2 linked regions of the Saccharomyces cerevisiae S288C genome follow. Each later gene encodes a partner of the first gene's protein in a complex. Each region holds a gene or a part of one and is shown on either strand. Other genes may lie near its edges. A codon is read from its position in the direction of its gene.

Region 1 (3,682 bases):
ACACATTATCTTATAAGGGGACACCATTTTTTTGAATGAGCCCTGTGAGAGTAATTCATTGCATTGTATGTAACTGTCTGTCAATATCTTTAAATTTTGGAAAAGAGTCAAAGAGTGGGTGAGGTTTTTCTTGGCAATGTCCAGGTACGAGATACCTTCTGTCAGATTCGATATCGTCAACTCGGTGGAGGCTGAGACATCTTGAGTTTCTTTGAAATCTTGGAAAACTTTCCTCAGAGAAGCCTCTATTTCAGCGGAATTTTTAGGGTGTTCCTTCAATTCATTCTCTTCTTTGAGAATATCCTCTTGCAATTGCTTTTTGTAGCTTCTGGTAATACTGATCAGTTCATCTATGTTGTTCAGGGATTCTTTTGAAAAAAGTATATTGGTAATATCTTCCAGCGGGTCATAATCTACCGTACCTTCCAGCATTGTCCTTCTGAGAAAACAAAAATGGAAGATGTTGTGAAAATGCAGTAAGTGACAATAAGCTAGCGACTTTTCAATGATCGCAGATTAAGTATATATACACTTTAGGTCTCCTTCTCTTCTTTACTAGCTACGAAAAAACAAAGAAAAAAAAAACAAAATAGAGGGAAAAAAGATATACGTATAAAAATATGCTCCAGGGGAGGTTCGAACTCTCGACCTTCAGATTATGAGACTGACGCTCTTCCTACTGAGCTACTGAAGCACTATTTCTTGTTCCAACCGAGGAATAATACTAGACCTGTAGAAAAGTACCGCTTATCTAATATCCAACTTTTTCTTCTGTTCCCTTTAGTGAATTCAAGATGAAGGAACATAACAGAACGGAAAACAAAAAAAAAGGGAAGAAAAAAGATATCACCACCAATTGGCACGCTCGCAACGGTTTCGGGCCAGATTCATGGCCCTGTGGGGTAGAAGTGCCTACAGACAAAAAACCGTTACGTCCCGCCTCACCAAGCATCGACACACAAGCCCTCTCAACCTCCTTAATTTCTTTATCTTTTTTTCCCTTCACCTCTGTGCTCTTTTTTTAGCCACAGCTGTGCATTACGCTTGCTTTGCTTGTTTTGTTCTCTTTCGCCATGCCATATTACTACTTTTCTACTTACTGGCACGAGGCCGCGCAAGCCAGATCCAAGCACGCCAGAAAGTGCGGTGTACTGGTGCAACCTTTTATCGATTTCTCATCATATCGCTATCGCAACGGGCATGGGCGACGAAAAAGCCAATCTAAAGCGTTGTCTTCCTCGTTCCTCGCGCACGCGATTTTGCGTTCTGCATAGGAAGCCGAAGTCGAACAAGAAGCAGGCAAAGTTTAGAGCACTGCCCCTCCGCACTCAAAAAAGAAAAAACTAGGAGGAAAATAAAATTCTCAACCACACAAACACATAAACACATACAAATACAAATACAAGCTTATTTACTTGACATCGCGCGATCTTCCACTATTCAGCGCCGTCCGCCCTCTCTCGTGTTTTTTGTTTACGCGACAACTATGCGAAATCCGGAGCAACGGGCAACCGTTTGGGGAAAGACCACACCCACGCGCGATCGCCATGGCAACGAGGTCGCACACGCCCCACACCCAGACCTCCCTGCGAGCGGGCATGGGTACAATGTCCCCGTTGCCACAGAGACCACTTCGTAGCACAGCGCAGAGCGTAGCGTGTTGTTGCTGCTGACAAAAGAAAATTTTTCTTAGCAAAGCAAAGGAGGGGAAGCACGGGCAGATAGCACCGTACCATACCCTTGGAAACTCGAAATGAACGAAGCAGGAAATGAGAGAATGAGAGTTTTGTAGGTATATATAGCGGTAGTGTTTGCGCGTTACCATCATCTTCTGGATCTATCTATTGTTCTTTTCCTCATCACTTTCCCCTTTTTCGCTCTTCTTCTTGTCTTTTATTTCTTTCTTTTTTTTAATTGTTCCCTCGATTGGCTATCTACCAAAGAATCCAAACTTAATACACGTATTTATTTGTCCAATTACCATGCCTAAAGAGACCCCTTCCAAAGCTGCTGCCGATGCATTGTCCGACTTGGAAATCAAAGATTCCAAGTCCAACCTTAACAAGGAATTGGAGACATTGAGAGAGGAAAACAGAGTAAAGTCAGACATGCTTAAGGAGAAATTGAGCAAGGACGCTGAAAATCACAAGGCTTACTTGAAATCTCATCAAGTTCACCGTCACAAACTTAAGGAAATGGAAAAGGAGGAACCTTTGTTGAATGAAGACAAGGAGAGAACTGTTCTTTTCCCTATCAAGTACCATGAAATCTGGCAAGCCTACAAGCGTGCCGAAGCTTCTTTCTGGACCGCTGAAGAAATTGATTTGTCTAAGGATATCCATGACTGGAACAACAGAATGAACGAAAACGAGAGATTTTTCATTTCCAGAGTTCTTGCCTTTTTCGCCGCTTCTGACGGTATTGTTAATGAAAACTTGGTTGAAAACTTCTCCACCGAAGTCCAAATTCCAGAGGCAAAGAGTTTCTACGGTTTCCAAATCATGATTGAAAATATTCACTCTGAAACTTACTCCTTGTTGATCGATACTTACATCAAGGACCCTAAAGAAAGTGAATTCTTGTTCAATGCCATTCACACCATCCCAGAAATCGGTGAGAAGGCCGAATGGGCTTTAAGATGGATTCAAGACGCTGACGCCTTGTTTGGTGAAAGACTAGTTGCCTTTGCCTCCATTGAAGGTGTCTTTTTCTCCGGTTCCTTTGCCTCCATTTTCTGGTTGAAAAAGAGAGGTATGATGCCCGGTTTAACCTTTTCCAACGAATTGATCTGTAGAGACGAAGGTTTGCACACCGACTTTGCATGCTTGTTGTTCGCCCATTTGAAGAACAAACCAGACCCAGCCATTGTTGAAAAAATTGTCACCGAGGCTGTGGAAATTGAACAAAGATACTTCTTGGACGCCTTACCAGTTGCTTTGCTAGGTATGAACGCTGACTTAATGAACCAATACGTTGAGTTCGTCGCCGACAGACTGTTGGTTGCTTTCGGTAACAAGAAATACTACAAGGTCGAAAACCCCTTCGATTTCATGGAAAACATCTCCTTGGCCGGTAAGACCAACTTCTTCGAAAAGAGAGTTTCTGACTACCAAAAGGCTGGTGTTATGTCCAAGTCGACTAAGCAAGAAGCCGGTGCTTTCACCTTCAACGAAGACTTTTAAGAGTATCTCTCTATATATTTCTTTTTACGCAGTCTCTTCAATCTCTTTATGTGGGCTTTCGCACCTCTTATTTATATATATATATATACACTGAATCATATAAACTTTTTTTTATATTGAATCTAATATATTATCAAACGGAAACTTCGGCTGAATTTCATACGTATATTGATTAAAGTGGAAAGGGCATCGGAAAAGTAAGAAAAGCTTAAAAAAATTGAAAAAAAAAAAAAAAAAAATAAAAAATAAAAAATAAAAAAACCTATACAATACATACATATGTATATGAATATAAACCTGGAACGATGTGTCTTTAAAAATAGTTGAACGAACTACTCGGACATACCCCTACATCACTTAAGGATGTCTACTTTCATAAGAGGTCCCATCTGCGGTACAGACAACTGCCCCTCACGGCTTTGGCGTATCATTGATGGGAGAAGAACCTGCCAATATGGTCACGTTATGGAAGGTGACGTGGAATTTAACGACGATGAAGA
Region 2 (5,266 bases), on another chromosome or scaffold:
GGTTACACAGGTAAAAATTTGGTATCTTTGATCAACGGCCACCCATATTTAGAAGTGGCCCATGTTTCTTCTCGTGAATTGAAAGGTCAAAAGTTGCAAGATTATACAAAATCCGAAATTATATATGAAAGTTTGCAAATACAGGATATTAGGAAACTGGAAGAACAAAATGCTGTGGACTTTTGGGTTATGGCATTACCCAACAAAGTCTGTGAACCTTTCGTTGAGACAATCCAAAGTGTTCATGGTAAGTCTAAAATTATTGATCTGTCCGCTGATCACAGGTTTGTATCAGAATCAGACTGGGCTTACGGTTTGCCAGAATTGAATGATAGAGCAAAAATTGCAAACGCTGCCAAAATTGCTAATCCCGGTTGTTATGCTACTGGTTCGCAATTAACTATTTCTCCGTTAACAAAGTATATCAATGGTCTTCCAACTGTGTTTGGTGTTTCAGGGTATTCAGGCGCGGGGACGAAGCCTTCTCCAAAAAACGATCCCAAATTCTTGAACAATAACTTAATTCCTTACGCTTTAAGTGATCATATACACGAACGCGAAATCTCAGCTCGCATTGGGCACAATGTTGCATTCATGCCCCATGTTGGGCAGTGGTTTCAAGGTATCTCTTTGACCGTCTCTATTCCAATAAAAAAAGGTTCCTTGTCTATTGATGAGATCAGGAAATTATACAGAAATTTTTACGAAGACGAAAAGCTAGTACATGTCATCGATGATATCCCACTGGTTAAAGATATTGAGGGCACCCATGGTGTAGTTATTGGTGGTTTCAAGCTGAATGATGCTGAAGATCGTGTAGTTGTTTGCGCAACCATCGATAACTTACTTAAAGGCGCCGCTACTCAATGTCTGCAAAATATTAATCTTGCTATGGGTTATGGAGAGTATGCTGGTATCCCTGAAAATAAAATTATTGGTGTCTGATCACTGTGTATAGTAGATCTGCAGCTCAGTCACATGAGACATTAACGTATATAAATATATAAATATATATATATCCATTAAATAACGAAGTAGGACATGGTCTAAAAATAGTGCTTCTCATGTATTGATTTTGAGTAGCCATAAGAATAATTATTGATTTCAAGATCTTTGATCTCCTTACATCCAAAATTATAATACCACTTTATGGTATCACGACATCACCACAACAGAGAAGGATTGCCGCATTTGGATATCGTAAACAAAGGCGTTACCATAGAAATGTACTGATTGGCAGAATTACTCTTCAGGAGAATCTTTCATACAAAGGAATTCCATTGGGGAAAATCTCGTTACCAAGTCAATGCTGAACTTTCTATGGCCTTTGTTTACTATCGTTAATTATTTTACGACCACTTCTGGGTAGAAATATTTCGTAGCCCTGGAACGAGCTTGTTTACGCGTTTTATCCCATTATATGGCACCCAAATCAAATTTAAAAAGAAAAAACGCGTAAACAGTGTCGGGTAAGTTCATCCTCTGTTACTTTAATTGCTTCTTTTTTTGAAATTCTAAGTAAACGCGTCATTTTGATCCTCAGGACACAGAAATCCTTGCAGAATCTTATTGGGTGTTGAATAGAGGACGCGTAAAAACGATATGGAAATTTTTTTCATATAGTGTAGAAAGAATAGGTTGGCGTAGGTAGTTTCGTGTTTGATAGAAACCTCCAACAAAGTCTGCAGCTCACGTTTTAGAATAACAAGTTTAGAGTTTATCTTGTTGCCTTTGTTAAGTCAGTACCATTGAATAAAAATTATATAAAGGAGCTAATATTTCATTGTTGGAAAATTACTCTACCATAATTGAAGCATATCTCATCCTTTTCATCCTTTTCAACGCAAGAGAGACACCAACGAACAACACTTTATTTGTTGATATATTAACATCATGTACGTTTATAAAAGAGACGGTCGTAAAGAACCTGTCCAATTCGATAAGATTACCGCTCGTATATCACGCTTATGCTATGGTTTAGATCCAAAACATATCGACGCCGTTAAGGTCACCCAACGTATCATTTCTGGTGTCTATGAAGGTGTCACAACAATCGAACTAGACAACTTAGCCGCTGAAACATGCGCTTATATGACTACTGTTCATCCAGATTACGCCACCCTAGCGGCCAGAATTGCCATTTCTAATTTACATAAACAAACCACAAAACAATTTTCTAAGGTTGTCGAAGATCTTTATAGATACGTCAATGCTGCTACTGGTAAGCCCGCTCCCATGATCTCTGATGATGTCTACAATATTGTCATGGAAAACAAGGATAAATTGAACTCCGCAATTGTCTATGACAGAGATTTTCAGTACAGTTATTTTGGTTTTAAAACTTTGGAACGTTCTTATTTACTAAGAATCAACGGTCAAGTGGCCGAACGTCCACAACATTTAATTATGAGAGTCGCACTAGGCATCCACGGTAGAGATATCGAGGCTGCTTTAGAAACGTATAACTTGATGTCTCTAAAATATTTTACTCACGCCTCTCCAACGTTGTTCAATGCCGGTACTCCAAAACCTCAAATGTCCTCTTGTTTCTTGGTTGCCATGAAGGAGGACTCTATCGAGGGGATTTACGACACCTTGAAGGAATGTGCTTTGATTTCCAAAACTGCTGGTGGTATTGGTCTACATATCCATAACATTCGTTCAACTGGTTCTTACATTGCTGGTACAAACGGTACTTCTAACGGTTTAATTCCTATGATTCGTGTTTTCAATAACACTGCCCGTTATGTTGACCAGGGTGGTAATAAAAGACCTGGTGCGTTTGCCCTTTACCTGGAACCATGGCATGCTGATATATTTGATTTTATTGATATTAGGAAGAACCACGGTAAAGAGGAAATTCGTGCAAGAGATTTGTTCCCTGCTCTATGGATTCCTGATCTTTTCATGAAGCGTGTCGAAGAAAATGGGACCTGGACATTATTCTCTCCAACATCAGCTCCTGGTTTAAGCGATTGTTACGGTGACGAGTTTGAGGCTCTATATACCCGCTACGAGAAAGAAGGTCGTGGTAAGACTATCAAAGCCCAAAAATTATGGTATTCCATTTTGGAAGCTCAAACTGAAACTGGTACACCTTTCGTTGTTTACAAGGATGCTTGTAACAGAAAATCTAATCAAAAAAACTTAGGTGTCATCAAGTCATCAAACTTATGCTGTGAAATTGTTGAATACTCAGCTCCAGATGAAACTGCTGTTTGTAACTTGGCTTCCGTTGCCTTACCAGCATTCATTGAAACTTCTGAGGATGGTAAGACTTCCACATACAACTTCAAAAAATTACATGAAATTGCTAAAGTTGTTACTCGTAATTTAAACAGAGTCATTGATCGTAATTACTACCCTGTTGAAGAAGCGAGAAAATCCAATATGAGACATAGACCAATTGCTTTGGGTGTTCAAGGTCTCGCTGACACTTTCATGCTGTTACGTTTGCCATTTGATTCTGAGGAAGCCCGTTTGCTAAATATCCAAATCTTTGAAACTATTTATCATGCCTCCATGGAAGCTTCTTGTGAACTAGCTCAGAAGGACGGTCCATACGAAACTTTCCAAGGATCTCCTGCTTCTCAAGGTATACTACAGTTTGATATGTGGGACCAAAAACCCTACGGCATGTGGGATTGGGACACCTTAAGAAAAGATATCATGAAGCATGGTGTTAGAAATTCCTTGACCATGGCACCAATGCCTACTGCATCCACATCCCAAATATTGGGTTATAATGAATGTTTCGAACCAGTCACTTCCAATATGTACTCCCGTCGTGTCTTATCCGGTGAATTCCAGGTTGTGAACCCTTACTTACTGCGTGACTTGGTTGATTTAGGTATTTGGGATGAGGGTATGAAACAGTATCTGATTACACAAAATGGCTCCATTCAAGGCTTACCAAACGTTCCACAAGAATTGAAGGACTTATACAAGACTGTTTGGGAAATTTCACAAAAGACTATCATTAACATGGCAGCCGATCGTTCTGTCTATATTGATCAATCTCATTCTTTGAATTTGTTCTTACGTGCCCCAACTATGGGTAAACTAACAAGTATGCATTTTTACGGATGGAAGAAGGGATTGAAGACCGGTATGTACTATTTGAGAACCCAAGCTGCATCTGCTGCAATTCAATTTACTATTGATCAGAAGATTGCGGATCAAGCTACAGAAAACGTTGCTGATATTTCCAACTTGAAGCGTCCATCATATATGCCTTCCAGTGCAAGCTACGCTGCCAGCGATTTCGTGCCCGCAGCTGTGACTGCAAACGCAACTATTCCATCTCTAGATAGCTCCTCGGAAGCTTCAAGAGAGGCATCTCCAGCTCCAACAGGTAGCCACTCATTAACTAAAGGAATGGCAGAATTAAACGTTCAAGAGTCTAAGGTAGAAGTTCCTGAAGTACCTGCCCCAACTAAGAATGAAGAAAAAGCTGCCCCCATCGTTGATGATGAGGAAACCGAGTTCGACATTTACAACTCTAAGGTTATAGCATGTGCTATTGATAACCCAGAAGCTTGTGAAATGTGTTCGGGTTAATGAGGGCTAAGTTTTTATTTCTTCAATTCTATTTATCAAAATTTGGGTGTTTACTTCGAGGTGTAATTTATATTTTCTTTTGTTTTCTCTGATAAAAAAATTGGTTTCCATTCTAATGCCAAGCTAAAAGGTACCTATATATGTTTACTAATTATTTTTCTACTTTGCATATATACATAAAAAAAGTCGAATAATTTAACATGAACATTTTAAGCTGTCCTTGTAAGAAGGCCATGATACAGATTCCCCCCTGCCCCGAAATGGGGTCTAGGCAACATTGTTCTATAAAGGAACGCAACTTTATGTGGCAACATTAAAGCAAATACATATCTACTTGTGAAGCCAAAGAATTGTAATTAAATAGCACTCATTATTATTTTTGTCTTCTAGTTTATAGTTGAATATACCATCTTTTTTAGATTCCCAGGATGCGCCTATATCGTTCTTCAATGAGAAATTAGCGTTTTCTTCGTTGAGTCCTTCAATGTTCAACGTCGTTACCGAGGCAATATATTTATACAAAGAAGAGTGCTTTTCAAGTTTTTCTAGGACCAGTTTTATAAGAAGGTTGGAAGTTGATTCGGTCGATAAATTGATTTCATTGTCATCTTTTAAACTATCATAACTTTCTTGAATTAACGTAACTAGTTTTCTTTCGGGCAGAGGAGAGTTATCACTCCTTCCATCCTTTATTTCAATCTGCATA

Evidence for each region.
Region 2: the proteins of RNR2 (region 1) and RNR1 are in contact, whole or in part, in a crystal structure (PDB 2CVY), measured with the Saccharomyces cerevisiae proteins. Residues at the interface, in NP_012508.1 of Saccharomyces cerevisiae: Phe393 (codon at 3,159), Thr394 (codon at 3,162), Phe395 (codon at 3,165), Asn396 (codon at 3,168), Glu397 (codon at 3,171), Asp398 (codon at 3,174), Phe399 (codon at 3,177); in NP_010993.1 of Saccharomyces cerevisiae: Val342 (codon at 2,917), Glu343 (codon at 2,920), Gln386 (codon at 3,049), Trp389 (codon at 3,058), Tyr390 (codon at 3,061), Leu393 (codon at 3,070), Ser691 (codon at 3,964), Gln692 (codon at 3,967), Lys693 (codon at 3,970), Ile696 (codon at 3,979), Met721 (codon at 4,054), Gly722 (codon at 4,057), Lys723 (codon at 4,060), Thr725 (codon at 4,066), Ser726 (codon at 4,069), Met727 (codon at 4,072), Phe729 (codon at 4,078), Tyr730 (codon at 4,081).

What each region holds. Positions count from the first base shown.
Region 1 is NC_001142.9:390,422-394,103, forward strand, and holds RNR2 (ribonucleotide-diphosphate reductase subunit RNR2), read left to right. Parts: upstream 1-1,982; coding exon 1,983-3,182; downstream 3,183-3,682. Other genes in the region: VPS53 (Vps53p), read right to left, coding at 1-432; YJL028W (uncharacterized protein), read left to right, coding at 890-1,225; YJL027C (uncharacterized protein), read right to left, coding at 1,412-1,828; RRN7 (Rrn7p), read left to right, coding at 3,546-3,682. UniProt on the Saccharomyces cerevisiae protein: Provides the precursors necessary for DNA synthesis. Catalyzes the biosynthesis of deoxyribonucleotides from the corresponding ribonucleotides. RNR2 provides the diiron-tyrosyl radical center.
Region 2 is NC_001137.3:297,057-302,322, forward strand, and holds RNR1 (ribonucleotide-diphosphate reductase subunit RNR1), read left to right. Parts: upstream 1-1,893; coding exon 1,894-4,560; downstream 4,561-5,266. Other genes in the region: ARG56 (bifunctional acetylglutamate kinase/N-acetyl-gamma-glutamyl-phosphate reductase), read left to right, coding at 1-945; TDA2 (Tda2p), read right to left, coding at 4,891-5,266.